Macaca fascicularis: one gene and its partners. The protein of the gene in region 2 interacts with the protein of the main gene of each other region in a pairwise test. Links are inferred from orthologs where the notes say so. Each region holds a gene or a part of one and is shown on either strand. Other genes may lie near its edges. The genes, in order: NEBL, ZYX and IMP3.

What was found.
Region 1: the proteins of ZYX (region 2) and NEBL interact in a two-hybrid assay, tested with the Homo sapiens proteins (2 studies listed by BioGRID and IntAct). The link is inferred for Macaca fascicularis from reciprocal best matches to the Homo sapiens genes ZYX and NEBL.
Region 3: the proteins of ZYX (region 2) and IMP3 interact in binary tests that used the Homo sapiens proteins (3 or more experiments, as listed by UniProt). The link is inferred for Macaca fascicularis from reciprocal best matches to the Homo sapiens genes ZYX and IMP3.

What each region holds. Positions count from the first base shown.
Region 1 is NC_088383.1:21,658,033-21,668,759, forward strand, and holds part of NEBL (nebulette), read right to left. Parts: intron 10,575-10,727; coding exon 10,464-10,574; intron 6,718-10,463; coding exon 6,607-6,717; intron 6,441-6,606; coding exon 6,330-6,440; intron 4,186-6,329; coding exon 4,081-4,185; intron 2,083-4,080; coding exon 1,990-2,082; intron 1-1,989. UniProt on the Homo sapiens protein: Binds to actin and plays an important role in the assembly of the Z-disk. May functionally link sarcomeric actin to the desmin intermediate filaments in the heart muscle sarcomeres.
Region 2 is NC_088377.1:185,244,755-185,255,481, reverse strand, and holds ZYX (zyxin), read right to left. Parts: upstream 10,166-10,727; 5' UTR 10,096-10,165; intron 9,954-10,095; 5' UTR 9,939-9,953; coding exon 9,731-9,938; intron 9,265-9,730; coding exon 9,065-9,264; intron 8,922-9,064; coding exon 8,829-8,921; intron 8,714-8,828; coding exon 8,192-8,713; intron 4,157-8,191; exon of another isoform or gene 4,052-4,156; intron 3,419-4,051; exon of another isoform or gene 3,393-3,418; intron 2,964-3,392; coding exon 2,843-2,963; intron 2,731-2,842; coding exon 2,561-2,730; intron 2,473-2,560; coding exon 2,294-2,472; intron 1,395-2,293; coding exon 1,274-1,394; intron 658-1,273; coding exon 553-657; 3' UTR 109-552; downstream 1-108. UniProt on the Homo sapiens protein: Adhesion plaque protein. Binds alpha-actinin and the CRP protein. Important for targeting TES and ENA/VASP family members to focal adhesions and for the formation of actin-rich structures.
Region 3 is NC_088381.1:52,861,144-52,871,321, forward strand, and holds IMP3 (U3 small nucleolar ribonucleoprotein protein IMP3), read right to left. Parts: upstream 5,183-10,178; 5' UTR 5,150-5,182; coding exon 4,595-5,149; 3' UTR 4,072-4,594; downstream 1-4,071. UniProt on the Homo sapiens protein: Component of the 60-80S U3 small nucleolar ribonucleoprotein (U3 snoRNP). Required for the early cleavages during pre-18S ribosomal RNA processing. Part of the small subunit (SSU) processome, first precursor of the small eukaryotic ribosomal subunit.

The DNA of each region.
Region 1 (10,727 bases), on a different chromosome or scaffold from region 2:
TAAATAAAATTCAAAAATAGTTCTTAACACAGAGAGCTAACAGCTAAAAGGCTTGTACTCTGGAGGTGGAAAATGTCGAGATCTTTAAATGTTAGAGAATCATATCTTGGTTTGACAGATCTAGCTAATCTTAAAAGGGCAACTTTCCATTTGAATACTAAGCAGGAGTTTATGGCCCAACCTCATGCAGATACAGAACTATGCATTTATTGTTTGCTAGAAAAGGCTGAGGGATGCTAAGAGAAGAAATGATATACTGTAATACTCTGTGGGATTTTCCACGGGTGAGAAGCTTAACATGATTAAAGATGAACACTTTTGTTTTGCAAAGGGACTCTAATCAAAATGGCATAGTTATTTCACTATAGTCTATAGAATTGCATACTACAGAATATTTATAATATTAAATCACAGTACATCGATGGGTGCATTTTAAATATTATCATTGGAAAGTGAAGGAATGAATATTTTATACTTCTCTCCCAAACTAATTTCTCTACTAGGCTAACACAGGCTCTCACCGTGAAAGATAAGAAGAACACATTCATCGACCTTCATCCACACCTTAAGCCTAGGACCTCCTTATGCTTTCTTCAAGAGATAGCTCCATGCATGCTACAGAGGTTTTATTGCACTGATATTCTGCAGACTTTTTATACTTTTATTTTGAAATAGCTTTACTATTTCATTCTCTTACCTCTCCTACACTTTCTTCACAAATGCTGACCCACGCTGATATTCTCAGGATGCTACATAATGACCAAGTGACCTACAAATGAGTCTAATCAAGGCCATTCTGCTTGGACTACTTAAAGGGAAGGAACTCTTTCCAAAGGTAAGGGTGAAGAGATAAGGCAGAGGAAGGGATTTAAAGAACCAATTATTTTCACTTCCTCAACAAGAAACTAAATGTAATGGACAGGCACAGTAGCTCATGCCTACAATCCCAGCACTTTGGGAGGCTGAGGTGGGAGATCACTTGAGGTCAGGTGTTCGAGACCAGACTGGCCAACATAGTGAAACCCCATCTCTACTAAAAATAAAAATAAAAAAATTTGCCAGCCGTGGTGGTGTGTGCCTGTAATCCCAGCTACTCAGGAGGCTGAGGCAGAAGAATCACTTGAAGCCGGGAGGCAGTTGCAGTGAGCTATTGCACCACTGCACTCCAGCTTAGGCAACAAAGCAAGACTCTGTCTCAAGAAAAAGAAAAGAAACTCAATGTACTAAATATACATGGGAGAATATCTAATTGGTAAGGAGAGCAATGATCTATCGCAAATGTCAAACACTCCATGGAAAAAAAAAAAAAAAAACTTATCCATAACATTAAGCACCTTAATGTTAGAAGCACCCTTCTAACAGAAGGGGACCCTTCCCCCAAGTCTAAAGGTTATTGGAAGGTAAGTTATTTCACAATTTACAGTGAAGATGTGTGATTTGTTTTCACTTTTGCTGGAAGAAGCAGAAGGTAAAAGGGGCTGGAAAGAAGAAATGGACAGAAGTGTGTCTGATAAAAAGCTTAGAGATGTGACTGACATGGGTTAAAAATGAATTGGTACTATTTGCTTTTTCAAATCTAAACCTTCACTTAAGCTGCCAAATAAATGTTCTAGGGCCTTTAATCATTCTATCAGGGAAAAATTTCTTTCTTCCAACTTGTGGAGAGGTACTGAAATGTACCCTTTCTCTGCAAAATTTAATAGAGTTAAAATTCTCTTCAAAGAGATGAAATCTAATCCTAAGTTTCATTAAAATGACCTGGCTCTTCTTCACTGTGATACATCAGAATGAAATACTGCTTCAGAGTCAAGGGGAACAAGGATATAGTTTTTGTTCTGACAGTTAGATCTTTGATATATGATGAAATAGCATTTCAATAAAGTGAAGAATAAAAGGAAAAAAGCCATCAGTTGAGTAAAGAATTAAAAACATTTGTCTACAGTTTCTGTTTGCTTTTAGAAAAGATAATTAATGCTGTAGAGAACTTACTGAACTAATATTCTGCTGATTTTTCTTCACTCGTTCGATCTCTGGGGTATGTTTTACTGCAGTGCCAGCTCCTACTTCTTTCTTATAAAATATCTTTATTATAAGAAAAGGAAAAGAATAAGCTTGTCAAATTCAAGTCCTAGATCTGCTTCTGAAAAAGACATTTTCTCAGGTTTTATAATAATACGAATACCGCATCTGAGTGCCAGAATTATAGAAACCAATTAAATAATCCATTAAGATAGTAAATAATCCATTAAAATAATCCATTAAAACTTTGGTTTTATATCCCATAATCTTACAAGTAACCCTCTCCTGCTCTAGGGCTAGACCGCTACCATGGCTGACTACAGATTATTTGCTTTAAGAATACACATTGACAAACCAGAGTTCCTTTCTTCAAATATAAATATATGTCACACGTGTATTTGAGAAAAAGCAGATATTACAAAAGCCCATTAAGCCATTATCACTGAATTCAAAAAGAGCATGACATTTTAGGCAACTTCTATTCTCCAAACACAAGGATGCCCATATTCTCTTCCAAGAAAATGTTAGCTCATCGTCAATATCAATGTTAATTTCAAGTCTATCTTCTTCATCTTCCACTTATTTGTTAACCCTCTCCCATGTGTCTCCACCCCCAGTAACACCTACTCCTTCCAAACCCAAAGCAGAACAAAAACACAAGAGTATTTATGAGTGCTCTCATTATGAGTACTCTGCAGAAAACCAGAGTAATTATAAGAAAGACAAATGAGGAGAGAATCACTGCCTTTCTTGACATCTGGTAATCCAGTGGCCCCCGCACGGGTGGGAGAGCACTGTAGGAGAAATGTTTTCCTCCAAAGGCTAGAACTCTAGAACACTATGGAATCACACAGCCTCCTTTCCTGATCCTTCCAGTAAGACTTTTCCATTTCTCAGTACAGACTGGCCATCCCTGTGGAGACCCAGCAGGCACCTGACCAGCTTACCCTGAGAGCTGGCACATGCCAACTAATTAGGAGGTAGGAAATATTCCAGAAGTCCTCACACTTACTAGAATTTATATTTTGATGAGATGCTTGCTTAACTATTAATGACTGAGCTAATTCTATGTTAAAATATTAGTTGTATGGTCAATTTTTACAATTTTAGAACAGAAGTCAAGTTTATACATTTATTAATCATGGACCCAGTCTCTTAATTAATAGTGCTGATGTACTATTTACAATAGCAAAGACATGGAATCAACCTAAATGCCCATCAATGACAGACTGGATAAAGAAAATGTCATGCATACAAACCATGGAATACTATGCAGCCATAAAAAAAGAATGAGATCATGGCCTTTGCAGGGACATGGATGGAGCCAGATGCCATTATACTTAGCAAACTAATGCAGGAACAGAAAACCAAATGCCACGTGTTCTCACTTATAAGTGGGAGCTACATGATGAAAACACACGGACATATAGAGAGGAACAACACACACAGGGGCCTATCAGAGGGTGAAGTAGGAGGGGAGAGAGAGGATCAGAAAAAATAACTAATGGGTACTAGGCTTAATACCTGGGTGACAAAACAATCTGGACAACAAATCCTTATGACACAAATTTACCTATGTAAAAACCTGCACAGATACCCCTGAACTTAAAAGCTAAAAAAAAAATAGTGCCAATGCAATTCCTCTTCCTCAAAATAAAAATATATAAGTTTAGAAATTTATTAAGAATGAGTAAATCGCTAAATATATTATTAGTAAAAACAATCAATTACCAGGAATAAAATCACTTCATATGACCATTTTCATCTTCTAAGTAAAATCTGTGTAGAAGACTAAGACTTCTTTCCAGAGTTAAATTTTAAAATTTAGTTAACTGTCATTTGTATCAGAGGGAAATTTGAATTTGTAATTCCAAAAAAACATGAAAATTGATAATTTGTAAAAATTATCAGTATTCTTATTATTTTAAAGAAATAAAGATAATACACTTGACAGAAAATTCAAGTAAGACAGCAGAAAACATCAGACAATGAGGAAAAAAGACCATTTCTTACAAAACAAAATTTCAAGGTGGCAACTGAAAAGAAATAATGGCTACTCACCACACTAATGTTTTGTTGAGTTGTCTTAATTCTCCGAATTTCAGGAGTATCTGCTATGGTAGAATAGTTAGAAAGCATCTTCTCTGCTTCATCTTTATACTTTCTCTAAAAATAAAAACAGTTAATATAAATCTGAAACTGTGTGTGTGTGCACGTGTGAGAGGGAGGGAGGGAGGGAGGGAGGGAGGGAGGTGGAGGGGGAGAGAGAGAGAAAGAGAGAGAGAGAGAGAGGGAATGATACCATTCTTCAATCTCTACCATACCACATGGCTTCTAGATTTATGCTTTGTTTCCTACTTCAGGTGAAAATAGATTTGATTAAGGGAAAGTTACCAGTATTTTGAAGTTGAGATTAAAATCTTAATTTTCTCTCCACTAAACCAGCTACTATGAGTTCTAATACAACCCAGGCAATATCTTATCCTAGTACCAGCACTTACATTTACTTACTATGTAATGGGTATTGTTCTAAATACTTAACACACATTAACTCATTTAATCAACCTGACAAGCAGATACTATTATTATTTCCATCTTATAGATGGAGAAACCGAGGTACTAGATAGTAAGTATCAGAGCTGCAACTTAAAACCAGGCTGATTCCAAAATCAGTGAAGTTAACTATTCTGGCAAACTACTGCTTATTAAGAAAGGTAACTACTTTTCATGTCGAAATGCACCAGGCTTCATTACACACTCTTAATATCCCCATTGTATTTCAGTGATTAAAATCCCTTAAAATTAGATATAGTCTCACGTCACACTAAAAAAAAAAAAAAAAAAAAAACTATGCTATTAAGTTAAGGCAGGAAATCTGACAGCTCAGGCACCTTCACTCTCAATACGTTTACTTTCAGGTGTATCTATCATGGTTGTAACACTATATTTACATGATTATTAGATTTGTCTGTAGCTTTCCAAGGGCAAAGTCATGTCTGGTTTTGCATGCAAATGGGTACTCAGGAGGTATTCACCAACTGAAGGAATGAGTTTGGCATTCTTGAGACAGTAAGTAACTCTTCTCCACTGACTCAAATGTCCATTTGCCTGTTTAATGTATTGACGTAGGATTTTAGTTCAGCTGATATGGCCAGAGCCAATGTCTCCAAGTTCATGGACACCGAGAACAGAAGAACACACACTTCAGGACCATCCCAGTGGCTGTGTCGTCTGCAGAGGCTGATAGGCACACAAGTCCTCTGACATTTGACGCTGCCATCTTGATACTACCCTTTTGAACTAGTGGATGGTTAATGTCCTTGCTTATGTCTTAATCAGAATTTTAACAAATTTCGCCAAATGTTGTTACACATTCCTTCCTGCATAAACTCCATTAATCAAATTAAATTCTATGGTCAATTTTATATAACCATTTTCTTTTTGTTCATTCCTTCTACTATTTTTTTTCCCATTGGGAGTCATTTATTTTAGTAAATGTTACAGCAAGGATACTATTTGCTAATGAATGTTTTTGCCCAAGTCAGATTTTATAAATAAATTCTTCTTCCATAAATACTTTTTGTGGTCATTACTTCTCCCACATCCAGCTTTGTTTACAGAATATGGGACAAGTATCTTTAACAAATCTAAATTTTACCAAGAAAACTTCACTGTTCCCTCAATTTTTACCTAACACTAAACTTCACCTTGTACTTTGTGCAGCTTTAGTCACTGTTAGTTTTATTTGGAACCATTTTAATAATAATATTCATTATGAAATGGTTAAAAGACAAATAGCTTGTAATTTATTTTTCTGTGGTATAAGCAAAAGCATTTGAGCCAAGTGTCCAATAGGGTAAAAAAAAAAAAAAAGAAAGAAAGAAAAGGTTAAAATATCCTTGGGCTGGGCACAACGGCTCATGCCCACTGAGGCAAGAAAATAAGCTTGAGCCCAGGAGTTTGAGGTTGCAGCAAGCTACGATGGTGCCACTGCATTCCAGCCTGGGTGAAAGAGTGAGACCTCCATCTCTAAAATTAAAAAAAAAAAAAGTTTTAATGTCCTTGGACTCAAAACAAGGAGCCCCAACAGAGAGACTGTAGCTCTCCTTAATGTCTGTTGCATTGAATCTATGACAGTTGTCCTATTCATTAGTAAGGTTAATCAAGTTTGGCCAATGGTTTCTCAGTGAAAGAGTATACTAACTCTGAATGCAATACCCTCAGAAAGATATCATTCATAGAGACATACAAAGCACATGGCAACATGACATTGGAAAACATGATTCTGAGCATCTTCATTCTTGACCAACCTGGCTATAGATTTCAGATGTCCTCTTGGCTCGAAGGATATCTGGGATATCCATGCTCACTTGCATTCCTCTCCCTTTAATTTCATTTTCTAAGTCCTTCTTGTATTGTTTCTAAAAGAACAGAAAATGATCTTAGAACTTTGCTTAAGCTTTAATAGCAATGTTGACATTTACGTGTTTGAATCTCAAAGCCACCCATGTGAAAAGAACACTTATGCTCTTTCTAGCTATGATTCACGGCATTTATTTTAAACTTTGTATCTCACTGCTGTCTTACCTGGCTGGCCATCTCGGATGCTTTCTTAGCTCTCTGGACATCAAGAGTGTCTGTGCTCACCTGCATCCCTTTCCCTTTAATTTCAGTCTCCAGATCTCTTTTATAGTCTTTCTGCAGAAAATGAAACACACAGTTAGTGCTCTCCGATCATTTGAAAAACGACTCAAAAATCGAGATGTTATTTGACAGCAAGACCATGTCTTTTGGAATGAAGTTGAATCCTTATTTCTTTTATTTCTATAGAATAAGAAAGAGTTTTTACTTGTGGTAGGACTATGACTTAGCATAACTTATTCACCAGTAATCAGAAGACTTTTTTTCTGCTAATCTGAATTAAGAAGAAGAAAAACAGAGCTAGCCAAGGGGAAAATTTAACATTTCATTATGATAAACTGGATATATTATTGGGTCATATACGGCTTGCTGTTTTTCACTCTGTAGTGAATACGTGTTGGCTGTTTCCCCGGAATCCACCCTTTCTTTTCCCTTCATTGGCTCCCTAACTTGCCACTGGACAACTCAGTGCTCCTACTCCTAAACCATCCAGCTTGGGTGAGACTGGCTCAAATCTCTGGACTCTGCTGGGCTTAAATAAATCATTACTCCCTTCACTGGCTCTCTGATTTGCCACTAGACAACTCAATGCTCTCCCTCCTAAACCATCCAGAAACTGGCCCAAGTCTCTGGGCTCTGCTGGACTTAAATCATTATACCCCATCACCCACACTGCAGAATTGGTTCCAGGATGCATGCATCTTTTTTTCCACATAAGAGGTGCTGGAAGCTTCTTTGCAAACAAGAATGTCTACCTAAGAACTGAAAGCTGAAACTAAATCTCATTATTTGAGTCCTAGATCAAGCCGTGCCCAGGAATTTCTCTACCGTTCAATCATAAGAACAACAAATAAGTTATCTGCGTTTTTTTTTAAGCCAGTTTGGAATTGGATTACCTATTTCTTACAAGATAGTCATAATTGCACAGACACACATGTCCTTAGGGACTTTTGTCACATTTGAAAACTGATTATAAAATTCAACAAGCCGTACATATATAAATTTGCATTTTCTATATGTATATTATTCTTCAAAGAAAAATGTTATTAAAAAACTATTAACTATAGCCAATTAAATTTGTTTTAAAACAATTCTTTCTTATTATGCTGACACACTCCAGATTTGTAGATTCTCTGCTGCAAAGTAAATATTGGTTTGTTTATTAATAGATCATCAAATTTAGATAGGTGGTAAACAAAAGTGTCAATCTTGGAGTATTTTTCCTCCTGTCTTCCACTCATAACTCTTCCCATTTTTACTGACTTACACTCCCAGTATCACTTTTCTAAATAAAAGTTTACATAATTATGTTTAACTTTCAAAATAATAATATTCAATTATTACTATGTCTATAAAAAGCACTCTGTTTCAGCCTGTTTAAAGCCCCAAAACAAAATGTTTCATTTGAAGGCCAACAAATATGATGAAACTGAAGCACTCATAGCAGACAGCCATGAAGGTCCAATGGTAGAAGGATGTAACAATTTTCCAATATGAACTTTCAAATGTAAATGTGTTCTAAAGCACACAGACTACATTAGACACCCTTGGCATCAGTTATTTGTTGTCTGCATAACAAAACACCCCAAAACTTAGAAGGTTTAAAACAACAACATGGCAGCATCTGTGTTCAAAGAGGGCAAACCCTAATGCAGAAGTGTGTTTATAGCCTCTGTCTGAGTCACATTTGCTGATGTCTCATTGGCTAAAGAAAGTCACATGGTCAAACCCAGAGCTATGGGAAGGCTTGACTATTGAGGGTCATTTGTGTTACAATATGATCCATTGACTTTATTTGAAAAATAAACTTTCGATATTAAAAACAAACTCTGGCAAAGTCCCAAACATTGGTTGAAAAGGATCTGAGCCTATCATTTAGGCAAAATGGGACATGACTATGATTAGATTATTATTATTATTATTTGGGGGGTTTTTATTGACTAAGACTCTCAGCCTGAGAATGGAGACTTCACCAGAGCCAGATGAATCAATTTACACTGGATGTGACTGGAAACCACTAAATAATTGCATGTGAGGAGAGGAACAAAATTTCATTTAATTCCGTCAAGGATTCTTCTGCTGGGTTGAGAATGGCTACTAGGAAGGCAATAATAGCAGAATTCTGGTTAGGAAGCTATGGCAATGATCTAGAGGATAGAGATGGTGGCTTAGACTAGGGTGGTGAGAAAGATGGATTTAGACTGCCACGATGGGGGTGACATCAATAAAGCATGCTGATGACAGGAATCAAAGTGACTTCTATGCTTTGGTTGGTACCATTTGCTGGGAAGCAGATGGAGGAAAGCTAACCTAGGGGAAAATTAAGGATTCTAGTTTTGGCCTGTAATGTTGAGATCCCATTATATACTTCCCTTGTAGACAACAAAAGATAAAGGGTCACATATTCACATCCATGTTATAGAACACTTAATTTTTCTATAAGAATGAGGTAGACCTATATGAAGGAACACAGAAAAAAAATCCATAATATAAAGAGAGAAAATAATCAAACACTTAAATGGAGTATGACCCCATTTAAGATTTTTTTAAGTTTTTGTGTGTACAAGTATATATTTATCTATATAAACACAAAACAGATTTGGAAGGTTCCATAACAAACTTATAACAATGACTATCTCTTGGGAGAACAGAAGTAGGAAAGTCCCTGTTCCTCACGCTCCTGGCCATCCACCCCTGGCCACCACTTCAAAATGGAACACTTATTGCTTAGGAAACCTATACCATCTCCACTTCCTTTGTCTTATTCAATCATGGCAATCCCATTTCCCTGGTCAGTACCTAACCCTGGGGATGTCAGTCATTTTTAAAACAACAGTAACTTCCGTAGCAGCTAAGCAGCTACCTCTAGCCTTCCAGATTTCCTGTAAGGTGTCAGTCCTGAGTCAGCTCTTCCTAAGTGCAAAGGTCACACAACAGGTCTCAGAGTACCCCACTGAAGCCCCCACCCACCCAGTCTTGAGATAAGTGAGCAGGACCCATTCACCTGCATCCCAATTTTTTCTTCACATACACTTTTATAAAATCATCACAACCCAAATCTTTACTCCAGTGATCCTTTTATATTCTCAGATTTTTGTGGGGAAGTTCAAGAGGTGTAGAGAAAGTTCTAGGGTATTTCCTTTGAAATACATGTATATGGTCCGACTCCTACAACCTTGTGATGTGATATCCATCCTGTCACAGAATTTAAGACAAAACTTCTAAATCAATATCCTGTATCCCATGAAGAGAAAAATGGTATTAGATGAATGAACATGGTCAATCAGGTTATATAAGACCTCCACTCAAAATGCTGTGTAGAAATTTCATGCATGCTGATCATGTCAACAAAGGCTATTTTAAGAACATGCAATCAGACAGAAATGATAGTTGTACTCACATTAAGCATCCGTATATGAAGTTCTGCTCAGAAATTTGGAAATACAGATATGCCAAGCAGCAGGTGATCCATTAAAAATACCATGAAAACATTTCTCATAGCCCAGGTAACCATTAAATCTGTTGTATTCTGAAGTAAGGTGTGCAGGGGAGTGCATGTGTGCGTGTGTGTGTATTCAACTAAAATGCCTTCCACCAAGCTTTTTTTGATATATTGGAGGGATGTGAGCAAAGCAAAAACTGTACATTTTCAAACAGGCATAATGCTGTGGAATAGTCTCCATTCCAAACTGTTAAACCAGCCGCAACGCTTTGAGAAATTCCATATAGTAATCAAGTTGCTAATACGATTTGTTAGGTTCCACAATATGAGTCTTAAGGCCTGCATCACGCACCCTACTAACCTCACTCGCGATCTCTGCAGCCTTCTTGGCATGCTGCATTTCAAGGGTGTCAGAGCCAGCTTGCATTCCTTTCCCTTTAATTATTGACTCCAGATCTTTCTTGTATTCTTTCTGCAAAAGACATGTTACAACATTCAAACACTCAGTGGGCAAACATGCATCTGCAGTCAATGATACCAAAAAAAATAGTTAAACCTATTTTACAAAAGAGGTAACAAAGCTCCTTGAGTACTACGAATGATCACTCACAACTAAATTTTCTGA
Region 2 (10,727 bases):
TATATACATACATACACATATATTTTTGTAAATAAACAGGAACTGATTTTCTGCCTCCATCCCACCCACGAGGGCTGTAGGCATTACAAAAGAGCTGACTACTGAGAATTCTGGAAAACAAGGTTTTTTTTTTTTTTTTATTTGTAGCTATAGCTACAACCTGGCAGCACGGGGGAGGGTGGGAATGTCCTGGAGGGTCAGGGCATCTCCCAAGCCTCCGCAAGCAGAGTACAAAGGCTGCTCCGGGGGCTGGCCGAGAGCGTGGGTGCAGCAGTGAAAGCAGCAACACTAAACCTGGTGCCCCGCTCAGGTGGGGTGTCTGGAGGACGGTGGGCAATCCCTGCAGGATGGGCGAGGACTAGACCCCAGGGTGGGGACCCAGCATCCCTAGGCCATCTTGGGCCCTGGGTCAGGGCACCTGGGATGCTAGAGTGGGGTCGGGAATGGGAGGGGCTAAACATCAAAACAATAACTGAGGTGAGGGCAGGTGGTCTCAGTGTGGGTGGTCCACGATGGGGCATGGACTGCGGTTTGAAGAGGGCCTGTCCTCACTCAGCTCTGGGCTCTAGCAGTGTGGCACTTCCGACAGAGCACGTGACCGTCCAGGGGGAAGCAGCCATTGTCATCTGCCTCAATCGACAGGGGCTTCCCGCAGTCCTGGGAAGAAGGAAGGGTGAGGGGCACTGGACCAGAAGGCCCCTGCTCTGCTCCACCCTACCCCACCCCGTGCAGCTCCATCGTGGAATTAGAAAGATGCTTCATGGCTCACAGCTGGTGTCATCGCATTTTCCAGCCACACCCAACTCCCCATCCCTATCCTGCTTCCAGTCACCCACTAGCACCTTCCTGCAGGAGGGCAAGCAGTGGGTAGAACTGCTTCCAAGGTGTTTGCTCCCCTGCCCGCCACCGCCCTAATAAAAGAGAGGTTTGGGGGCCTCTTCCATCCTGGCTCACCTCCATTCGAAGACTTCTTCTCTCAACTCCTGTCTCCCCATCCCCTACCACAGTAAAACACCATGCCCTTCCCTCCTATTGGCTTGTCCTGTTTCTTGGCTTATCCATGACTCAAAGTGACCTCAGAAGTCCCACAGCCCTGTTTCCTGCAGCGGCAGGAAGGATTCAGGCAGGGCAGATGGGCTGCCATCATGAGCCACCCTCAAAATCACAGCCCTGTTTCCTGAATGCTGGCGCTTTCCACCACCCAGTTAGTAAGCAGCATCTCCCGCCACCTCCTGGTCGGAACCAGCCCAAGGAGCCCAGAGGGATGGCTGACCTCACACTTGTAACACTTCATGTGGAAGTTCTTGTCCAGGGCAACCACTCGCACGGTCTCATCTCGGCCAGGCTCAGGCATGATGGGCTCAGAGCAGACGGAGCACCTCGGGGCGTACTGCCTGAAGGGGGAGAAAGGGCCAGCAGTTAGCCAGGGCTTTCATCCCCTGTGTGCACACACAGAAGCCAGGCTGTGCAGCCAGGAGGCAGACTTCTCTGCCCTGCATCTCTAGGTGGAGGAAGCTCACCAGAAGGGCCTAAGACTGAGCCACCATGACTGGCCCTCATCAAAGGGAGTTTCCTGCCTCCCCAGTCACTCTCCCAAAGCAAGATATCCTCCCACACACCTGCCACGGTGTTCTCTCCCACTAGATCCTTACTGTCCCATTCACACTGCAGCTCCTGCAGAAAGCCAGCCCTGAGGTACCCCTCCCATCCGATCCTGCTTCCCTGACCCTCACCTTCCCCCAATCCACCCACCCCAACGCATGTTGCCTCTGCCCTGACTGCCTGGCACTGTGGAGGGATGTGAAGTTGTGGCCACCCCAGGTGGAATCCTAAAAGTGTCTGCCCAAACACTGACCCCCACTGGAGGTGGGGGTCAGATTCTGCACTGTTCCCACAGCTGCACTGAGGTTCTGTGGGTCAGCCTGGAAAAGGAGTCACCTTCTAAACACTGTTTCTGAGGAGAAACCAGATTTCCAAGCAGCTGATCTCCAGAAGAACTTTTAGAACCCAGCCTGTGTGAAATGAAGTCACTCCAGCACACTTCACGAAATGCTGACATAGACACACAATAAGCTTCAGTGATCAAGGACGAGGGAGGGACCAGCCAGCAGCAGGACTCGATGTCCAGGCCTAAGGCCCCTGGACAGCTACATCCAGATGACTTGGTCCCTGCTGTCTACACACAGGACATGGGACCAGAAAGCAACACCAAGGGTTTGGGGCTGTCCTGATGCTAGGGTGACTACCAGACCAAGCGCGGCAGAAGCCCAGAAGGCAGATGGCAGGTCCTCACTTGTGGTAGTCGGGGACACAGTGGGGCCGGTTGGCCTGGTCCACAATGAAGGAGGTGCCCTCCAGGGGGCGGGCACAGACCACGCAGGTGAAGCAGTGCGGGTGATAGGCCTTGCCCGTGGCCCTCAGCATGCGGTCGGTGATGGGCTCCCCGCAGGTGTTGCACTTCTCCAGGGTGTCCTGAGGAGGCAGCAGGAGGAGGTTGGCAGGGAACTGGCACCCCACAGCCAGCTTCCAGGGCCTGACTGCCCAGCACAGCCCAACTCACAGTGTAGCAGCTCTCGCAGTACGGCGCCCCCTCCAGGCTGTAGAACTGCTGGCCCTGGAGCTGCTGCGCACACTGGTGGCAGGTGAAGCAGGCGATGTGGAACAGCTGCCCCAGAGCGCGGACGGCCGGCTGCGCCCGGGCCAGGGGTTGATGGCATCGACCGCAGAGTTCTGGGAAAGCCGGAGAAGACAGCAGTAAATAGAAGGAAGTATGTAGGGCTGTGAGGGATCAGCCCGCTCGGATAGGGGGCAGGGTGGGGCTGTCCCGGTGGGGTGGGCTCACCGTTGACGGCCACGTTCTGCCTCTGAGGATGCTCCATGTCCTGCATTAGCTGCTGGGTCAGCTGCTCCAACTCCTCCACCTCCTTCAGAGTCAGGGGCCCTGGGGCCCCAGGGGAGCGCACCTGCAATCCCAACACTTTCTTCACACTCTCGAGGGTTGCTGCCTCCACCCCCCCAGGCCAGCCTACCCGGCTTCTTCCGATGAGGACTTAGCTCCCAGCTCATGTCCCAGATGCTCAGGCTTGACCCTTAAAGCTTCTCCCTTGTCCCCCTACCCCCGCCATCCCCAGCACCACACAAATAACAGGGGAAGAGGACCTAAGCCTGGATCTCGTACAGCAAGACATTTCCGCCCGCTTTGCCCAAACCCCCTGAGCAGTCACAGACAGGCCAGAATGACTGAGCAGACGGAGGCCACGCACACAGCAGCTCGGGTCACTGAAGCACCAGACACTCCAGGGCCACGCATCAACTCCACAGAGCATGCTCGGACATCACCCCCATGGGACAGGGGCACGCAACAGCGTGCACACACGCGCACACACACCTACCCGGCCTGCCTGCTGCTGAGCAGCCCCTGTCAGCGTGGGGATACAACACAGGCAGGAATTGCAGGTTAAACCCACTGAGCTGTCTGCAAGAACCCAGCCCCACCCCCACACAGAGACCCTGTCCCTCGAGTGAGGGACTTCTGGACTACCTTACTCAGGTCCCTCCCCAGCAGCCTCAGAGAAGGTCCAAAGGCCGTCCCCTAGGCCAGTCCAACCTTTCCATTCAGGGGATCCTGGGGACTGGGGTGGGGAGTGGATGAAGGACAGCGCCGCCAGTAACCCTGAGAGGTAACCCTGAGAACTCCAGGAGGGGCTGTCTGACCTGCACGCCCACAGGAGCAAGTGCACTGGGTGGGTCTTTTCTATGTCTGGAAAAGCCTACCCAGGACCATGTCCCCATCACCGAGTGTGCTACCTGCGGATGCCTTCATTCCCGTAACACCTGGAACCTCCAAAGCTCCCCTGCTACCTCCTTCCATAGCCCCTCTCCCCTCAGCCCTGGCTTCACTGCCCCTCACCCTGACCCCTATCTGTACCCAGAGTTGCATCCTTTCTGCCCAGTGAAGCATGCGTCCATAGAAGTCCAACTCCCCAGATCTTAGCCATTTTCCCTTAAGATCCTGCCATCTCTTAACTGACTCGTTCCCTGGAACACTCACTTCAACTTTGTCTCCTCCAGTCTTCCCTTCCTGGCATCTCGGGGACAGAGTGAAGGGCCTCGTCAGTCCTTGCTCTCCAGTGCCATTCTAAATGCCTGGCTCCTCCTTCAGAAGCACAGAATCCTCATGTGCATCACCTCCCATGGGTATCCCCGTTCATCAGGACCCTCTATCCAGAACTGTCCCCTCTGCCAGCCTGCACCAATGCCACCGCTTCAAACCAACCTTCCCTCCAACTCAGTCATCGTCCATCATGGGACATCCTTGACCTCAGATTTACCTCCAAGTCCCCTGCCAGCCATGATCTGCCTCTCCTCTTCCCCATCCACACCTACTACGCGAACCCAGAAAAGCCTTAGTTCCCCCACCCGCAACCCACCCCTGGACTTTGTCCACCATGCCCCAGCCTGGTCCCCTGACCATGTACTCCTACAAGGTTCACTGTCCCTCCGGGCACCTGCAGCCACCCGCAGCTATCCAGCCCAGTCTCCACCCCAAGTCACACCACCACCCGCTTCCTGTTTCTGCTTCCAAGCTGCAAAAAGCAGTGGAGAGGTCGCTGAACACTGCAGAGTGAGCTCACAACACTGCAGCGCCCGCACGACCTCCAGCCCGGCTTCCCCACAACAGCTGTTCCAGACCTCTCCATCTTCTTAGCCGCGACCTGCTTCACCCACTTGCTGGCACCATGACCTCACCTCCCACATGGCTGAGGACATGGAAGCCAGCCAGCTTAAGCTCCCTCATCGTCCTTCCTATCCACACTGCAGCCACTCTGTCCTTGCTGTCTGGGATGCCTCTAGGGGGAGGAGACATCACCAAGATCTCTTCCAAGGACTGAAGCAGGCTGACCCTGCTTTCCCACAACACTCACCCTCCATCACCTGCTTCCCCGGGTTACACACGTACTCGAGCCCTTCTCCCCTAACTTGCAAAAACCACATACACTACACCACAGACTGATACACCCTCACACATACATACCCACACACCACTCACATGCACACATACATACACCACACACCACTCACACATATACTACACACATTCACACTCACACATATACCATACCACACACACAAACACCACTCACATGCACACTCACATTCAGATATACCACACCAAGCCAGGCACGGTGGCTCACGCCTGTAATCCCAACACTTCAGGAGGCCAAGATGGGCAGATCACTTGAGGTCAGGAGTTTAAAACCAGCCTGGCCAACATGGTGAAACCCCGTCTCTACTAAAAATACAAAAATTAGCCAGGTGTAGTGGCACGTGCCTGTAATCCCAGCTACTTGGGAGGCTGAGACAGGAGAATCGCTTGAGCCTGGGAGGTGGAGGCTGCAGTGAGCATGGGCGACAGCCTGCACTCCGTCTCAAAAAAAAAAAAAAGGATATACCACACCACACATACCACTCACACGCACATGTATACACGTACACCACTTGTGTGTATATGTGTGAAAGTATGTATGTGCTCATTCGCTTGTGCATATTCATACATATATATACAATGAATGTATGTGCTCATTCGCTTATGCATACTTTCACACATATATACACAATGACACACTATACACATCACACTGACACACCACTCACACATGCACACACCTTAGCTCACACATGCACACATATACTCATATACACACTTTCACACAATCACACCACACTCATGCCACTCATACATTCATGCTCACACATGCACATATACTCACATACACATACACCATACCCACACCCACACACTAACACACACACCATTCACACACATGCGCCACTCATACATTCACATATGCATATACACACACACACACACACCACACTCACATCACTGATACACAGTCCTTCCCTTAGTCCTTTTCCCTGCCAATCTTTAAGACCAGGCTACACCAGTAGCCCCACTTCTCACCACCCACTCTCTCCTCAACTCCTCACATTGTGTTCCCACTACAGGGCACAAACAGGCCATCCCAAGACCGGTGATGATTTCCCAACAGTCTAATCTCTAGCCTTGAGTCCTCACTCCCTCAAATACCCCGCTGAAGGGCTCAGCTTTCTTCTCCAAGTGCACCCTGACTCTCCTCCTGACTCTTCTTCCCACACCTCCCAGTCCCTGCTGTCTGTACTCCCTGGGAAGCTCCTCAGCTCCGACCCTGACCCTCCAGCGTCACAGTGTCACTGTGTCCCACTACCATGCTAGACATCTCTGGCCCTGTCCTGAAACCTGGCCCTGAATTTCTAACTGAATGACGGCCCCAGCTGAAAGTTCTCCTGGGACCTGTTGCTCAATACGCTGACAGCTGGACCCCTCCTCTTCCCGTCCAAACCATTTCCCCTTCTGGACTTCTCTATTTTGTCAGCAATCTTGTCATCCGCCCACACCCCCAATCTCCAAATCGCCCTGGAGACTTTGTTTTTCCTCTTCCCCTCACCCTTGTCTTCCAGTTGCTTATCCCTGGCTAAGTCCTGGAGGCTGTGCCTTCCCAACAGCTCTGGCACACAGCTCTCACATGCGGGGCTTAATATTCATTGCAGCTAATATTACTATTGCCCAAAAGTGAACTCATACCCATCACTGACTTCCCTCGAATACACATCTCTGCTGGTGAAACTTTCCAGAAAGCTTCCAAAAACACTGCTTTCACCAGCCCTCCTGACCCACCCTGCACCTACTCAAAAATCATGAATGTGGCCGGGCGCGGTGGCTCAAGTCTGTAATCCCAGCACTTTGGGAGGCCGAGACGGGCGGATCACGAGGTCAGGAGATCGAGACCATCCTGGCTAACACAGTGAAACCCCGTCTCTACTAAAAATACAAAAACTTAGCCGGGCGAGGTGGCAGGCGCCTGTAGTCCCAGCTACTCGGGAGGCTGAGGCAGGAGAATGGCGTGAACCCGGGAGGCGGAGCTTGCAGTGAGCTGAGATCCGGCCACTGCACTCCAGCCTGGGTGACAGAGCGAGACTCCGTCTCAAAAAAAAAAAAAAAAAAAATCATGATGCCTCTCCAGTGCTCAAGAGCTCCTTGGGTGAACCACTTCACCTCCTACGCCCTCCAGCCCCGCTTGCCTCTCCAAGTACAGCTCCATCATTTTCCTACAGGAACCTTCCACTTTCTGCTCTCCAAACATCCCTCTCCTCTCCGGATTCTTACGTCCTGCCCATCCTTCGAAGCCTCTCCTAATTTGCCAGGCCCCAAGTGGACTTCCTGGTCTGAGTGCCTGTGACTCACAGGATTCTGCAAAGCTCACTGGTCCTTGGCATTTCTTCCTATGCTGTGTCTGAGTGTAAGTAGACATCCACACTATCAGTGGACTCTATGGATGCTTGGACCAGCATCATCATCACCAGAAACTGGAAGGTCTTATTTCCTGAACTAGAAGGCAAGAACCATTTTGTAATTACAGCTTTTGTATTTTGAGCATTCATGTGCTAGATACAGAACCCAACACTCTCTAGGTTATTAGTTCACCTAATCTTTACAACCACTGTATGGAGTAGATAATGTTAAAGATTGAGAAACTGAGGCTCAGGGTTCACCTAACTTGCCCAGTCTAAGGGCTTGGGAGAAGCCCGAACCAGGAATTCCATTCCAGGTCCATCTGACACCTGAAGGCTGAGCTTCTTGCAGAGATCTCGTCCTTCCCATGTCCTACCCTCCTGAGCACAGAGCACAGTGCCTGGCACGTGGTAGATGCTGGCTCAGCCAATGTTTACTGGGGCTGACTCTTATCTCCAAGCCCTCAGGCAGAAAGAGTGCTCAGAGGAGCAGGGAGATTAACTCAAGACCCAAGAATGGGAAAAACCAAGGTGGGACTGGTGATCTCATCCCTCCCTTTAACTTTCTGGGGTAAAGGCGCAAGGAAAGGTCCACCAGATCCTCCTAATTCAGAGCCTGTGCTCTCTGTGCCCTCCCAGCCAGGCCCCACCCAGCCCCACACCCAGCCAGGCCTCTCCTCCAGAAGAGCATTTTCTTACCACTGTTCCACCAGGCTAACCTCAGAGGATGAAACTTCCTGTCCCGCCACCCCCGTGTCCACCCTGACTCTCCAATCACCTTCATGCTTCTGTTCTGGCTCCTGACTCAGCCCCGCCCCAGCACCCGGGTCCCAAGCCTTGTCCTATCACCATCCCTTACCTGGTTTTGGTTCTGAGCCGGTGCGGGCACTGGGTGCTGCTTCTCCTGCACTCGGGGCTTCTCCCTCTGCTGAGCATAGGTGAAGCTGGGAGGTTGAGGGGAGCCTGTGCCAGCGGAAAGAGCTTCGGGATGCCCCAATTTTTGATTTGGCTGTGACCCAGATCCACCTGGGGCTCCAGGACTGAACTTGGAAGCCACGGGAGTAAACTTAGGAGTCACTGGAGAAAACTTAGGGGCTGGAGCTGGCGATGAGGCTGGGGGACCTCGGGGCTGGGTGTTAGCCAAAGACACAGGCTGGGGCTGGGACTGGACATGGAGTTGGACCTGAGGCTTGGGCTGGGGCTGGGGCTGAACATGGAACTGTGTCTGGCTCTGAGCTGGAGCCGGAACCTGGGGCAGAGGCTGGGAGCTGGAAGGGGCCTTCCAAGGAGGCAGGGGTGCTGTGCCCCCAGCTGCAGGCTTAGTACTGGACTTGGAAATGAATGGAGTGGCCACTGGTGGGGGGACATATCCAGATGACACCTGCAAGGGGTGGGAGAGGGAAGAGAGATGCAGACAGGAGGACACCATCCTCCATAGCTCTATCCCCTGTCTCTCTGGCCCTGGGCCCTGCTTTTCCTACTTTGCGGTCCCTTACCCGAGCTTTGAAAGGATCATTCTTGGTCATGTCATCCAGCAGTGAGGACAGAGAGTCGATCTCCAAATCAATACTGCTCACCTTCTCCCTGGGCTAGAGGGTCAGAGGTCAGAGCACCTATTCCATGCCTCCATTCCCCCCACCCCCAAGGCAGAGGTGCAGGGGAGGTAAGAAAGGGCCCTCTTCTCCTCGCCTTGGGGGTGTCCGGTACAGCCGCCCCTCCCAGGCCTCCATACCTGCGGTGGGGACGGTATGGGGGCCTCAGGCCCTCCCTCCTCTTCCAGAGGAGGCGGCGGGGAAGGGAAGATCTCCTCCTCCAGAGGCGCAGGGGGAAATGATTCCTCGATCGGCGGAGGGGGCGGCGGGAAGGCACCTCCCAGAGCACCCTCCGCATCGTCGCCATCCCCGGCGAGGGGAGGTGGAGGCAGGGGAAAGTCTGGGGTAGGAAGGAGAAAGACGTCGCCCGGGGTCCCTCTGCCCCTCACCCAAGCTCCCCTCGGTTTACCGCTCTAACCCCTAACCCAAGAATTCTCTCGAGGGTCCCAGAGCGTGTGGGGACGCAAAGGCGGGGCGCAGGGCGCCCTGGGAGTACCAGGTCAGGAAAGGCCGGGGGCACGGCCGAGGAGTGGTGCAGCTCCCGTTACACTTCGGAAAACGGACCCGGAGGGGAAGATTCGTGCCCCACATTCCCGCCTCCCACCCCCAAGCGGGGGACTTGGAACGGTCCCAGGAGCTCTGGCTCCCAGCCACGAGCTCCACGATGAGGTAAGAACATCTGCTCGGGACAGGGTGGCTGCGCCCAGCCCCCTAGGCAACAACCTTTCCAGACATCCCCAGATTCCCGAAACAGTGCCCCCCCTCCGGCGCCCGCTGGGGTCCAGCCCCCAAGCCCCGCCGCATACCTTCCGGGGGCGGCGGGGGAATCTCGCCCACCCGGCCCATCTGTGCGCGCTGGGCCCCGGGTGCCGGGGGAGGCTCGCTGTCCCCGGGCCGGAAGGGATTCACTTTGGGTTTTGGGGCCACCACAGGGCCGAACTTCTTCTGGGGGGCGTAAAAAGCCGGAGCCGAGACCGAAACGGAGATCGCGGGAGACGGGCGGGGGGCCGCCATGGCCGGGCCGGGCTGCTGGGGTGGGTCGCCGGGTTACGCAGCGCAGAGCCCGGCTCAGGAGCCCCGGGCGGTCCCAGCTCCCCTTGGCGACCCCCATGCGCCCCCTCCCGGCGCCCCGCGCCCCCTCCCCGTGGGGCCGCCCTGCCGCTCCCCGCACCTCACCGCGGGCCGGAGCGTGCGCGCCGCGTCTCGGGTGGCCTCCTCGGCGCCGGGTCCACGGACTCTGCGTCCCAGTCCGGAGCAGCCTCCAGCCGGGCGGGGAGGGACACACGGAAGGAGGAGGGAGGGAGGAGGGAGGGGGCGGGGAGAGAGCGGCGCCCAGACCATACAAGGAGCGGCCCGGAGAGGGGGCGGGGAGAGCGGGGAAGGGCGGACCAGGCAGGAAACTCCCCCAGGAAGGGGCCCTGATCCTGCCTCAGGCCAGAGGCTCCGCCGAGGTCCGCCCGCCGCCACCCCACTCCACTCACTGCCGCCCCCGCCGCCCCGGCCCGGCTCAGACCCCCGCTCCCTGAGCACAGGCCTCTGATGTCATTTCCTGACCTGCCCTCCCCCCATGCCCGACCCGCGGGTGCCCGAGATCTGACTCACAGTCCCCCTCCGGGCTTAGCCGGCGGAGGTGGGGCGGGTGCCGCAGAGGTAGCCACGCAGCCCCTGTGCGCCTCCGGCCCGGCCCAGCGACCTCCTCTCCGGCCTGCAGTTACCCGGTCCCCTCCCGCCACCACCCGCTACCCGACCACCTCCGAGTCCGCCTGGGGTGGCCGAACGTATGGAGCTGGGCTCCAGGGTGCA
Region 3 (10,178 bases), on a different chromosome or scaffold from region 2:
TCATCTCTGCTGAGACTTTGCCCTTCCATGCAGGGAAGCAGCCTGGCCCCAGGTAGGGGGGAAATGTCCTTTACAAACTGCCCAGGGGCTTCAAAGTTGGGACCCATTCTTGGATTTTTTTTGGGTTTTCTTTGAGATGAAGTTTTGCCCAGGCTGGAGTGCAATGGCCTGATCTCGACTCAGTGCAACCTCCACCTCCTGGGTTCGAACGATTCTCCTGTCTCAGCCTCCTGAGTAGCTGGGATTATAGGGGCCCGCCACTATACCAGGCTAATTTTTTGTATGTTTAGTAGAGATTTCTTTGTATGTTTAGTAGAGGTTTCTCCATGTTAGCCAGGCTGGTCCGGAACTCCTGACCTCAGGTGATCCACCCGCCTCGGCCTCCCAAAGTGCTGGGAATATAGGCGTTAGCCACTGCATCCAGCCTTTCTTGGATGTTAAAACCAAGGTTTGTCCTAAAGATTGCACAGCTTTCCTGAGCCAGGGCTGGGGATTGTTGGGGCAGCAAAGCACCTCTAAATTTTTCTCTACTTTGCAAGTGTTGACAGCACTCTTTTATATCCTTTTCTCTAAATCAGAAACAGAGCAGAAACTAGAGCCATCTCATCCTGCCTCTTCCTATCATAGAAGGGAGATGGAGGGAGGCCTAGAGAGAGAAGCAGCTTATGCCCCTAGTCCCACAGCAAGTCAGAGGCAGGCAAGACCCCTTTTCCCTGAAGTCCCTGCAGCCTCTCTGCCCCTCTGGTGCTGGAATAGGATGCAGCATCTGTGTGATGTTTGCTCTGTGCCAAGCACTGGGCTAGGAACAAGCCCTGTGCTTTTCAAAGTGTGGTCCCCTGACTAGCAGCACCAAAATCACCTGGAAACTTGTTAGAAATGCAAATTCTCAGGTCCACCCCAGACCTCCTGAATCAGAAACATGAAGGGGGCCGGGCGCGGTGGCTCATGCCTGTAGTCCCAGCACTTTGGGAGGCCAGAGGTGGGCGGATCACGAGGTCAGGAGATCGAGACCATCCTGGCTAACATGGTGAAACCCTGTCTCTATTAAAAATACAAAAAATTAGCCTTGTGTGGCGGCGGGCGCCTGTAGTCCCATCTACTCGGAAGGCTGAGGCAGGAGAATGACCTGAACCCGGGAGGCGGAGCTTGCAGTGAGCTGAGATCCACCCACTGCACTCCAGCCTGGGCGACAGAGCAAGACTCCGTCTCAGAAAAAAAAAAAAAAAAGAAAGAAACATGAAGGGAGTGGAGACAGCATTTGTTTTCACAATCTTTCCCAAGGTTCAAATGTGGCATGCTCAAGTTTGAGAACCACTGCTCTAAGCCATAGTAGGCTCACTCCCGGTGTAACTGAGTGGCTAAAATTGTAGAACCCAGAGCCAGAGGGAATTAGGTGCAACCTGCCTCCATCACTAACTCTGTGACTCAGGTAAGCTATTATCTTTGAGCTTTAGTTTTGTCAGCGATAAAATGGCCACAATAGTGCCCATAAGGTTGTTGTGAGGACTACATGAGACAGCACAAAGCCTAGGGTATAGTAAGCACTGTCGGGGTAGCCATTATTAGCTAGCTGAGTGATTATTTATTTTATTTTTTATTTTTTTGAGACAGTCTTGCTCTGTTGTCCAGGCTGGAGTGCAGTTGCACGATCTCGGCTCACTGCAACCTCTGCCTCCCGGGTTCAAGCAATTTTCCTGCCTCAGCCTCCCAAAGTGCTGGGATTACAGGCGTGAGCCGCCATGCCTAGCAGATTTTTTTTCTTAAGTCTAAAGCTTTTATTCTTGTTTTATTTATTTATTTATTTAGAGACGGAATCTCACTCTGTTGCCCAGGCTGGAGTGCAGTGGCATGATCTCGGCTCACTGCAACCTCTGCCTCCCAGGTTCAAGCTATTCTTCTGCCTCAGCCTCCCAAGTAGCTGGGTTTACAGACATGTGCCATCACATCCGACTCATTTTTATATTTTTGCTAGAGACGGGGTTTCACCATGTTGGACAGGCTGGTCTTAAACTCCTAGCTTCAAGTGATCTGCCTGCCTCGGCCTCCCAGAGTGCTGGGATTGCAGGCATGAGCCACCGCACCTGGCCTGAATTTTGAGGTTTTTATCTGCTTGGGTCATGGGTGCAGGATCCAATTACTCCAAGGGGGCTGATCTATCTGCCATGCCTTGTGGGTCTGGAGGGCCACAGAGGTCCTGCCTTGTACAGTCACTTTCTTTTCCTCCATGAGATCCACAATCTTGGGAGTCCTGAGGATGTTCCTCCAAATGGGCAGACTATGCCCAGCCACCAGAGCTGGAGAGCAGGATTCTCTCTCCTTCCACTTCTAAAGGGACAGCACTGAAATAAACATGGCCTCTGGAGTCACGTGAGACTGGACTTGAAACCTAGCCTTGGACAAGTTCTTATTCCAATTGTTTCCCAAACTGAAGTTACAGATACCACCAACTACCTTGCAGAGTTGTTGGTAAGAGTGAATGGCAGCCTAGCATTAGCAGGGCCTAGATGAGAGTTCGTTCCCTTCCTAACTTGAATATCACCTTTTCCTTAAAGCCTTCCCAGTACAATGTTTGCTCCCTCCTCACACCTTTATACAGCATCCTGTGGAGACCGATCACATTGTCTAGTGCTGCTGCTTTTCTCTGCTGGTTTGTAAATTCAAGTTCAGAGACTCTTTCTGAACTCTGACACACACCAAGGGCTGGGTGTGCTGATACTGACACAGTCCCAGTCCATTGCTTACTGGCTACATAATCTTTGGTAATTTGACCCAGCTCTGCCTCAGTTCCCTCATCTGAAAAGTTGAGAATTGGATTTTCCACTTTATAGGATTGTTGGGAGGTTGAAATGGGCCAATACAGGTGGTGCACTTAAAAATGGGGCTGACATATAGCAGAAGTACTTGGTATGACATCATCCCATGATGTAGTAAGTCCCCTTCTCTACATCATTTCTTCACCAAATGCTGCCTCACCTGGGGAAGCGAACAAGGAACCCCTAAAAGCCAATCCACTGATCTCAGCATCCTATTTATTCTCCTTTTAGAGGACCTGGCCAAGCACGGTGGCTCACACCTGTAATCCCAGCACTTTGGGAGGCTGAGGCAGGAGGATTGCTTCAACTTAGGAGTTTGAGATCAGCCTGGGTAACATACCAAAACCCTGTGTCTACAAAGATTAAAAACTAGCCAAGTGTGGTGGCACATGCTTATAATCCCAGATACTGGGGACGCTGAGGTGGGAGGACGGCTTGAGCCCAGGAGATGGAGGCTGCAGTGAGCTGTGCCAGCTCCACTGCACTCCAGTCCGGGCCTTGTGTGAAAAAAAAAAAAAAAGAAAGAAAAGAAAAAAATAATAAAGAAATCTTGAGTAAAACTTGGTAGTCTCCCTTCTAATTCTCTATCACTGCTGTCATCTAAATTTTCAGGAACCTCCCAGGCCACTTCTAACCGCTAGATGGCCAAGCTACAGGGTGATTATTTCCTTAGGCAAGCAAACATCCCAGCCCTCTAATACGGTATTTCCTGGGGCTGGAATATCAACAGGAAGTTATGTGAGGAAGAGCTCTGCCAAAACACTCATTCCAAGGAAGGGACTGGTAAAGTGACAAATTTGCCCAATCCTGTACAACATCCTGCATCCTCCACATCTGGCCCCTGTTGCACATCTCATCCATAGGCAGATCGCTCGCTGCTGACCCTATTCTTCTCTGGGCTCCTAGGACCTATAAATATGACTCTATATAAGAAAACCAGAGTCTGGGCACAGTTTGCTCATGCCTGTAATCCCAGCACTTTGGGAGGCCGAGGCGGGCGAATCACGAGGTCAGGAGTTCCAGACCAGCCTGGCCAACATGGTGAAACCCTGACTGTACTAAAAATACAAAAATTAGCCGGGCGCGATGGCGGGTGCCTATAATCCTAGCTACTCGGGAGGCTGAGGCAGGAAAATTGCTTGAACCCGGAAGGCGAAAGTTGCAGTGAGCCGAGATCGCTCAACTGCACTCCAGCCTGGGTGACAGAGCGAGACTCCATCTCTAGAGAAAATAAAGGAAAACCAGACAGATTAAAAAGTTGCACTTACAAAGCAGTTGGGGCATTTATTGGCATTTAAACAAGGGAGGAGATCCTGAACACTAGTCTCGCTCAGTTTATAAAAACTTAAGGCCAAACTCTCCATCATCTGTACACAGCTTAACCACGGCCAGGAGCAAGAATTGGAGTTAAACGAATTGAACCAGTCCAACTACAAGACTAGATAAAGGGAAACAGGGCGTAGGGATTTGCGGTTTTTCCTTTTAGATTACCAAGTTTCCAACACAAGAAGCCAACAATACCCCAGTGCAGCACCAACTTACTTCCCACTGCTTTCCAAGGCAGAGTCAATTAATAATCAGTAGTCCAAGTTCTAAGAACATTTCCTGGAAAACAAGGACGCATCTCCCGTGGCTCTATGCAAGGCCTGCCACTGATGAATCAAGTTCTTAAGAACCTACGACCATCTGACACCCTTGGGGAAAGCACCCTCATAGAATCTCCAGAATCAGGCCTCAGTTTTCCCATCTGTAAAAGACAGCCATGGAAAGTGGGAGATCCGCTAGGCTTCCAGATCGAAGTCATCGCGCTCCTCATTGTACTCCAGCACGTGCCGCTTGATCTTGGACGAGTCCACCCAAGTGACAAAGTCCTCCATGCTGCGCGTGACAAGGAAGGCGGGGTCGGTAACCACATCAGGGCCCACGCGTACGTGCCCTTGCTCCACAAAGGCTACGGCAGCCTGAAGGTGCTGCGCCATGCGCAGCTTGAGGAGCACGGTGGGAAGGCGGCGGCGGCAAAAGGACGAGGCCGTGACGAAGTCGCAGAGTTCTAGCGAACCGCGCGTGGGCACCAAGCCGAGAGCATACAGCTTGTCCAGCAGCGCGGCCGAAGCGCGCACGCGGAACTGGTCGCGTTCGGGCAGGTCGCGCAGGCGCCGCGCCAGTTCACGGACCGCACGGCTCAGCTGGTTGTAGCGCGTGTAGTCCTCACGCCGCTGCAGCCGGTAACGCCGCAGTACGCGCAGCTCGTGCAGGTTGTGGTCGGTGACCTCCCAGTTCAGGAAGTCCACCTGCTTCAGCAGTTTCTGCTCGTGGAACTTAAGCTTCCGCACCATGATGGCGGCAGCCGCAGCACCAGGACCCGAAGCAGATAGTGCGTTTCAGTACCCGCGCGATTTCCGCCGCGGCGCACCAAGACCTGGACGGTCTGGGACCCTGGGCCAATGAAAGAAAGGCTTAAAGTCACGCCCTCATTTTCCATTGGCCAGGGTGGGACCACGCCCAAGCACTGGGATCTCGCGTTTCTTTTCTGCGCGTTTGCATAGGGAGGGGGTAGAAGCATTGCGCGGGGGGGCGGGTCCCTAGGCGGCTACGCGGGGTTTTTAGTAGCCAAGACTGTATCCCTTTGTGCGGCAATCATTTCCTCCTAGACTTCTGTCCTTTGGGGACTTTCAGAGTCTCCCCCGCAAGAGCTGAAGAGGCCATTTCTGGGGAAGAAGGGTGACTGCGGCTTGTTGATTGGGTTTACTGTGCTAACTTCCACTGGGCTCTTGCCATGCCGTGGGGGAGCTTGCCGGAGCCGGCTGTCCTGGGACTGACCTGGTAGTCCCCGCCTCCCGCCAGCGTCAGGTCCTTCACCTGGCAAGCAGAGCGATCTCTCATTGTCACGTTGGGCTGGGTAGCACCGAACCCATGAAATCCCGATTGCCTGGCCGCTTCCTAAGCGCACATTATAATCGGGATCTATAAGGGAGCCGCCTGGACATCTGTATTATTAACTAAGGTGTCAGATGATTCATAAAACCCAGCAAGTTTGAGAAACTTGGACTATAAGTACAAGTCCAAACCCTTTAGTCTGTGCTCAAATGAATTATCCTGACATAAATTTCTGGCCACCAAGTATTGAGTTAACAAATGTAATGCTGTTTCGGCTAGTTGCAGCTGTAAGTTACATCTGGTGTAGCGCTGCAGACCTAACCCCTTTTTGCCCAGGCATTTAACTTCTCACTGATCATTTTTGTTTTGTATGCTTTTCATTGTCTTTTACAATACAATATTTCTGGGTGGGGCGCGGTGGCACACGCCTGTAATCCCAGCACTTTGGGAGGCTGAGGTGGGAGGATCATTTGAGGCCAGGAGTTCAAGACCAACCTAGGCAAAAAAAGAAAAGAAAAGAAAAGATAAAAGCGAGATCCTGCCTCTGTAAAAATTCTTTTTTTTTTTTTTTTTTTTTTTTTTGAGACGGAGTCTCGCTCTGTCACCCAGGGTGGAGTGCGGTGGCCGGATCTCAGCTCACTACGAGCTCCGCCTCCCGGGTTCACGCCATTCTCCTGCCTCAGCCTCCCGAGTAGCTGGGACTATAGGCGCCCGCCACCTCGCCCGGCTAGCTTTTTGTATTTTTTAGTAGAGACGGGGTTTCACCGTGTTAGCCAGGATGGTCTCGATCTCCTGACCTCGTGATCCGCCCGTCTCGGCCTCCCAAAGTGCTGGGATTACAGGCGTGAGCCACCGCGCCCGGCCAAAAATTCTTAAAGAATTAGCCAGGCATGGTGGTGTGTGCCTGTATTCCTGACTACCTGGAAGGCTGAGGTGGGAGGATCACTTGAGCCCAGGACTTGGACACTGCAGCGAGCTACAATGGTGCCACTGCACCCCAGCTTGCACAACAGAGCCAGACCCTGTCTCAAAAAATATATATATTTAAAAAAAATTCGATATCTGGAAAATAATAAACATAATATGTAAATTATAAAGTATAATAAATACTCATGAATTTAGCCAGTTTAAGAAAACATCACCAGGCTAGGCATGGGGCTCATGCCTGTAATCCCAACACTGGGAGGCCAAGGTGGGAGGATCACTGGAACCCAGGAGTTCAAGACCAGCCTGGGCAACATAGTAATACTCAGTCCCTGTGGACAAAAAAAAAAAAAAAACATTAGCGAGGCATGGTGGCAGCACCCATAGTCCCAGCTACTGGTGGGGGTTTCGGGGTAAGAAGGGGGAGGATCCCTTGAAGCCAGAAGTTCAAAGATGCAGTGAGCCATGATCACACCACTGCACTCCAGCTTGGGCAACAGAACAAGATCCTGTCTCTAAAACAGAAAACTAATACAGATCATTTGCTTTTTAAAATCTAATGGTTTTTTTTTTTTTTTTTTTGGAGACGGAGTCTTGCTCTGTCACCCAGGCTGGAGTGCAGTGGCATGATCTTGGCTCACTGCAACCTCCGCCTCCTGGGTTCAAGCTGTTCTGTCTCAGCCTCCTGAGTAGCTGGGACTACTGGCACCCGCCACCACGCCTGGCTAATTTTTTGTATTTTTAGTAGAGATGGGGTTTCACTGTGTTAGCCAGGATGGTCTCCATCTCCTGACCTTGTGATCCACCTACCTCGGCCTCCCAAAGTGCTGGGATTACAGGCATGAGACACTGCACCCGGCCCCAGAGTAGGTCTTACTGAGAAGGTGATATTTTATAGGGTGTAAGCCATGTGTGGATATCTAGAGGGAGAACATTTCAGGAAGAGGAAACAGTGGAAATGCCTTAAGGCAGGAATGTGCCTGGCATGTCAGAAGAATAAGAAAGCTATTTTGGCTGGAGCAGAGTGGGCAAGGAGGAGAGGAAGAGATTAAAGAGCTTGTAGTCCCTTGAAAAGACTTTGGCTTTTATGTTGAGAGGCAGATACTTCGGGATTTTGAGCAAAGGATTGACACTTATGTTTTTTGTTTGTTTTTGTTTTTGAGATAGGGTCTCACCCTGTTGCCCAGGTTGGAGTGCAGTGGTACAACCAGGGCTCACTGCAGCCTCAACCTTCCAGCCTCAAGCGATCCTCTTGAGTAGCTGGGACTACAGGCACATGCCACCATGCCCGACTATTTTTTATTTTTTATTTTATTATTATTATTTGAAACAGAGTCTTGCCCAGGCTGGAGTGTAATGGCGTGATGTTGGCTCACTGCAACCTCCGCCTCCCAGGTTCAAGCGATTCTCCCTGCCTCAGTCTCTCAAGTAGCTGGGATTACAGGCACCTGCCACCACGCCTGGCTAATTTTTGTATTTTTGGTAGAGATGGGTTTTCGCCATGTTGGCCAGGCTGGTCTCGAACTCCTGACCTCAGGTGATCTGCCCACCTCGGCCTCCCAAAGTGCTGGGATTATAGATGTGAGCCACTGTACCCGGCCGCTAATTTTTAAATTTTTTGTAGAGATGGGGTCTCACTATGTTGTCATGGCTGGTCTTGAACTCCTGGGCTCAAGCGATCCTGCTACCTCAGCCTCCCAAAGTGCTGGGATTACAAGCATAAGCCACCACACCTGGTTCAGAAATTCAATTTTGGACATTTTGGGTTGGTGGCATCCATTAGACTTCTGAGGGGAGATGTCAAGGAGAAATAGATATATGAGTTAGGAGTTTTTTTTAAAAAGGGCTGGAGATTTTAAAAATTGGGCATTACTAGAATGAGTGGTATTTGAAGTCATTCGGCTGGATGAGATCATCAAAGGAGTGCCTGCGGATACAAAAGACAAGAGGACAACTCTACTGTGGTTACTCTAATGTTAAGAATTATAGGAGGCTTGCTGGGCACCGTGGCTCATGCCTGTAATCCCAGCACTTTGGGAGGTTGAGGTGGGCGGATCACGAGGTCAGGAGATCGAGACCAGCCTGGTTAACATGGCAAAACCCCGTCTCTACTAAAAGTACAAAAAATTAGCCGGGCATGGTGGCAGGCACCTATAATCCCAGCTACTCGGGAGGCTGAGGCAGGAGAATGGCATGAACCCGGGAGGCAGAGCTTGCAGTGAGCCGAGATCACACCACTGTACTCCAGCCTGGGCGACAGAGCAAGACTCTGTCTCAAAAAAGAAAAAAAAGCCGGGCGCGGTGGCTCAAGCCTGTAATCCCAGCACTTTGGGAGGCCGAGACGGGTGGATCACGAGGTCAGGAGATCGAGACCATCCTGGCTAACACGGTGAAACCCCGTCTCTACTAAAAATACAAAAAACTAGCCGGGCGAGGTGGCGGGTGCCTGTAGTCCCAGCTACTCCGGAGGCTGAGGCAGGAGAATGGCGTAAACCCGGGAGGCGGAGCTTGCAGTGAGCTGAGATCCGGCCACTGCACTCCAGCCTGGGCGACAGAGCGAGACTCCGTCTCAAAAAAAAAAAAAAAAAGAATTATTGGAGAGAAGAGGATGAACCAGTGAGGTAGAAGGAATATCAGGAGAGTATGTTCTCTCCAATGCAAATGAAGAAAGTGTATCCAGGAGGAAGGAGTGATCAACCAGGTCAAATGCTACCAAAAGGTTAAATAAGAGAAGGACTGAGAATAATACCATTAGGGTCCAGCAACACCAAGGATATTGATGACCTTGACAAGAATAGTTCAGTGGAGTGTGGGAGTAAAAGATTGGCTAGAGGGATTTAAAGAGAGAACAGAAGAAAAGAAATTGGACGCACTTAGGAGAGAGAGTTATTTCAAGGAATTTTGCTGCAAAGGTGAGCAGAGGAATGGAGCAATAGCTGGTGGGGAAAGTGGAGTAAAAAAAAAATTTGAGATGGAGTCTTGTTCTGTCGCTAGGCTGCAGTGCAGTGGCGGGTGCAATCTCGGCTCACTGCAACCTTGGCCTCCCGGGTTCAAGCGATTCTCCTGCCTCAGCCTCCTGAGTAGCTGGGACTACAGGCACACGCCACCACGCCCAGCTAATTTTTGTATTTTTAGTAGAGACGGGTTTCACCATGTTGCCCAGGATGGTCTCAAACTCCTGAGCTCAAGTGATCCACCTGCCTTGGCCTCCCAAAGTGCTGGGATTACAGGTGTGAGCCACTGCACCCGGCCCTGATGCTATTGTTAAACTCAGTTTAGAGAAAGGCTATGTGGACAGAAGATAGATCACAGGGAAGCGGGGTCCTAAAAGCATGTGGGGAAAACGTATATTCAGTCTTAGAGATGCTAGGAGGAACTGTGTCTTTAGAATCAAGGCTGCCCCATGACAGGAAACAAGGTTTTAAGGTTACTTGACTAAGAGACTCGTCATACCTTTTCCCCTCTTGGAGGTTCCGGACTCACTGAGCTAACTTTCTGGTAACTGGGCTTCCCAAGGGGTAGCCCAAACTGCCTTGATCTATTGATGCAGAAATTCAGTTCTGC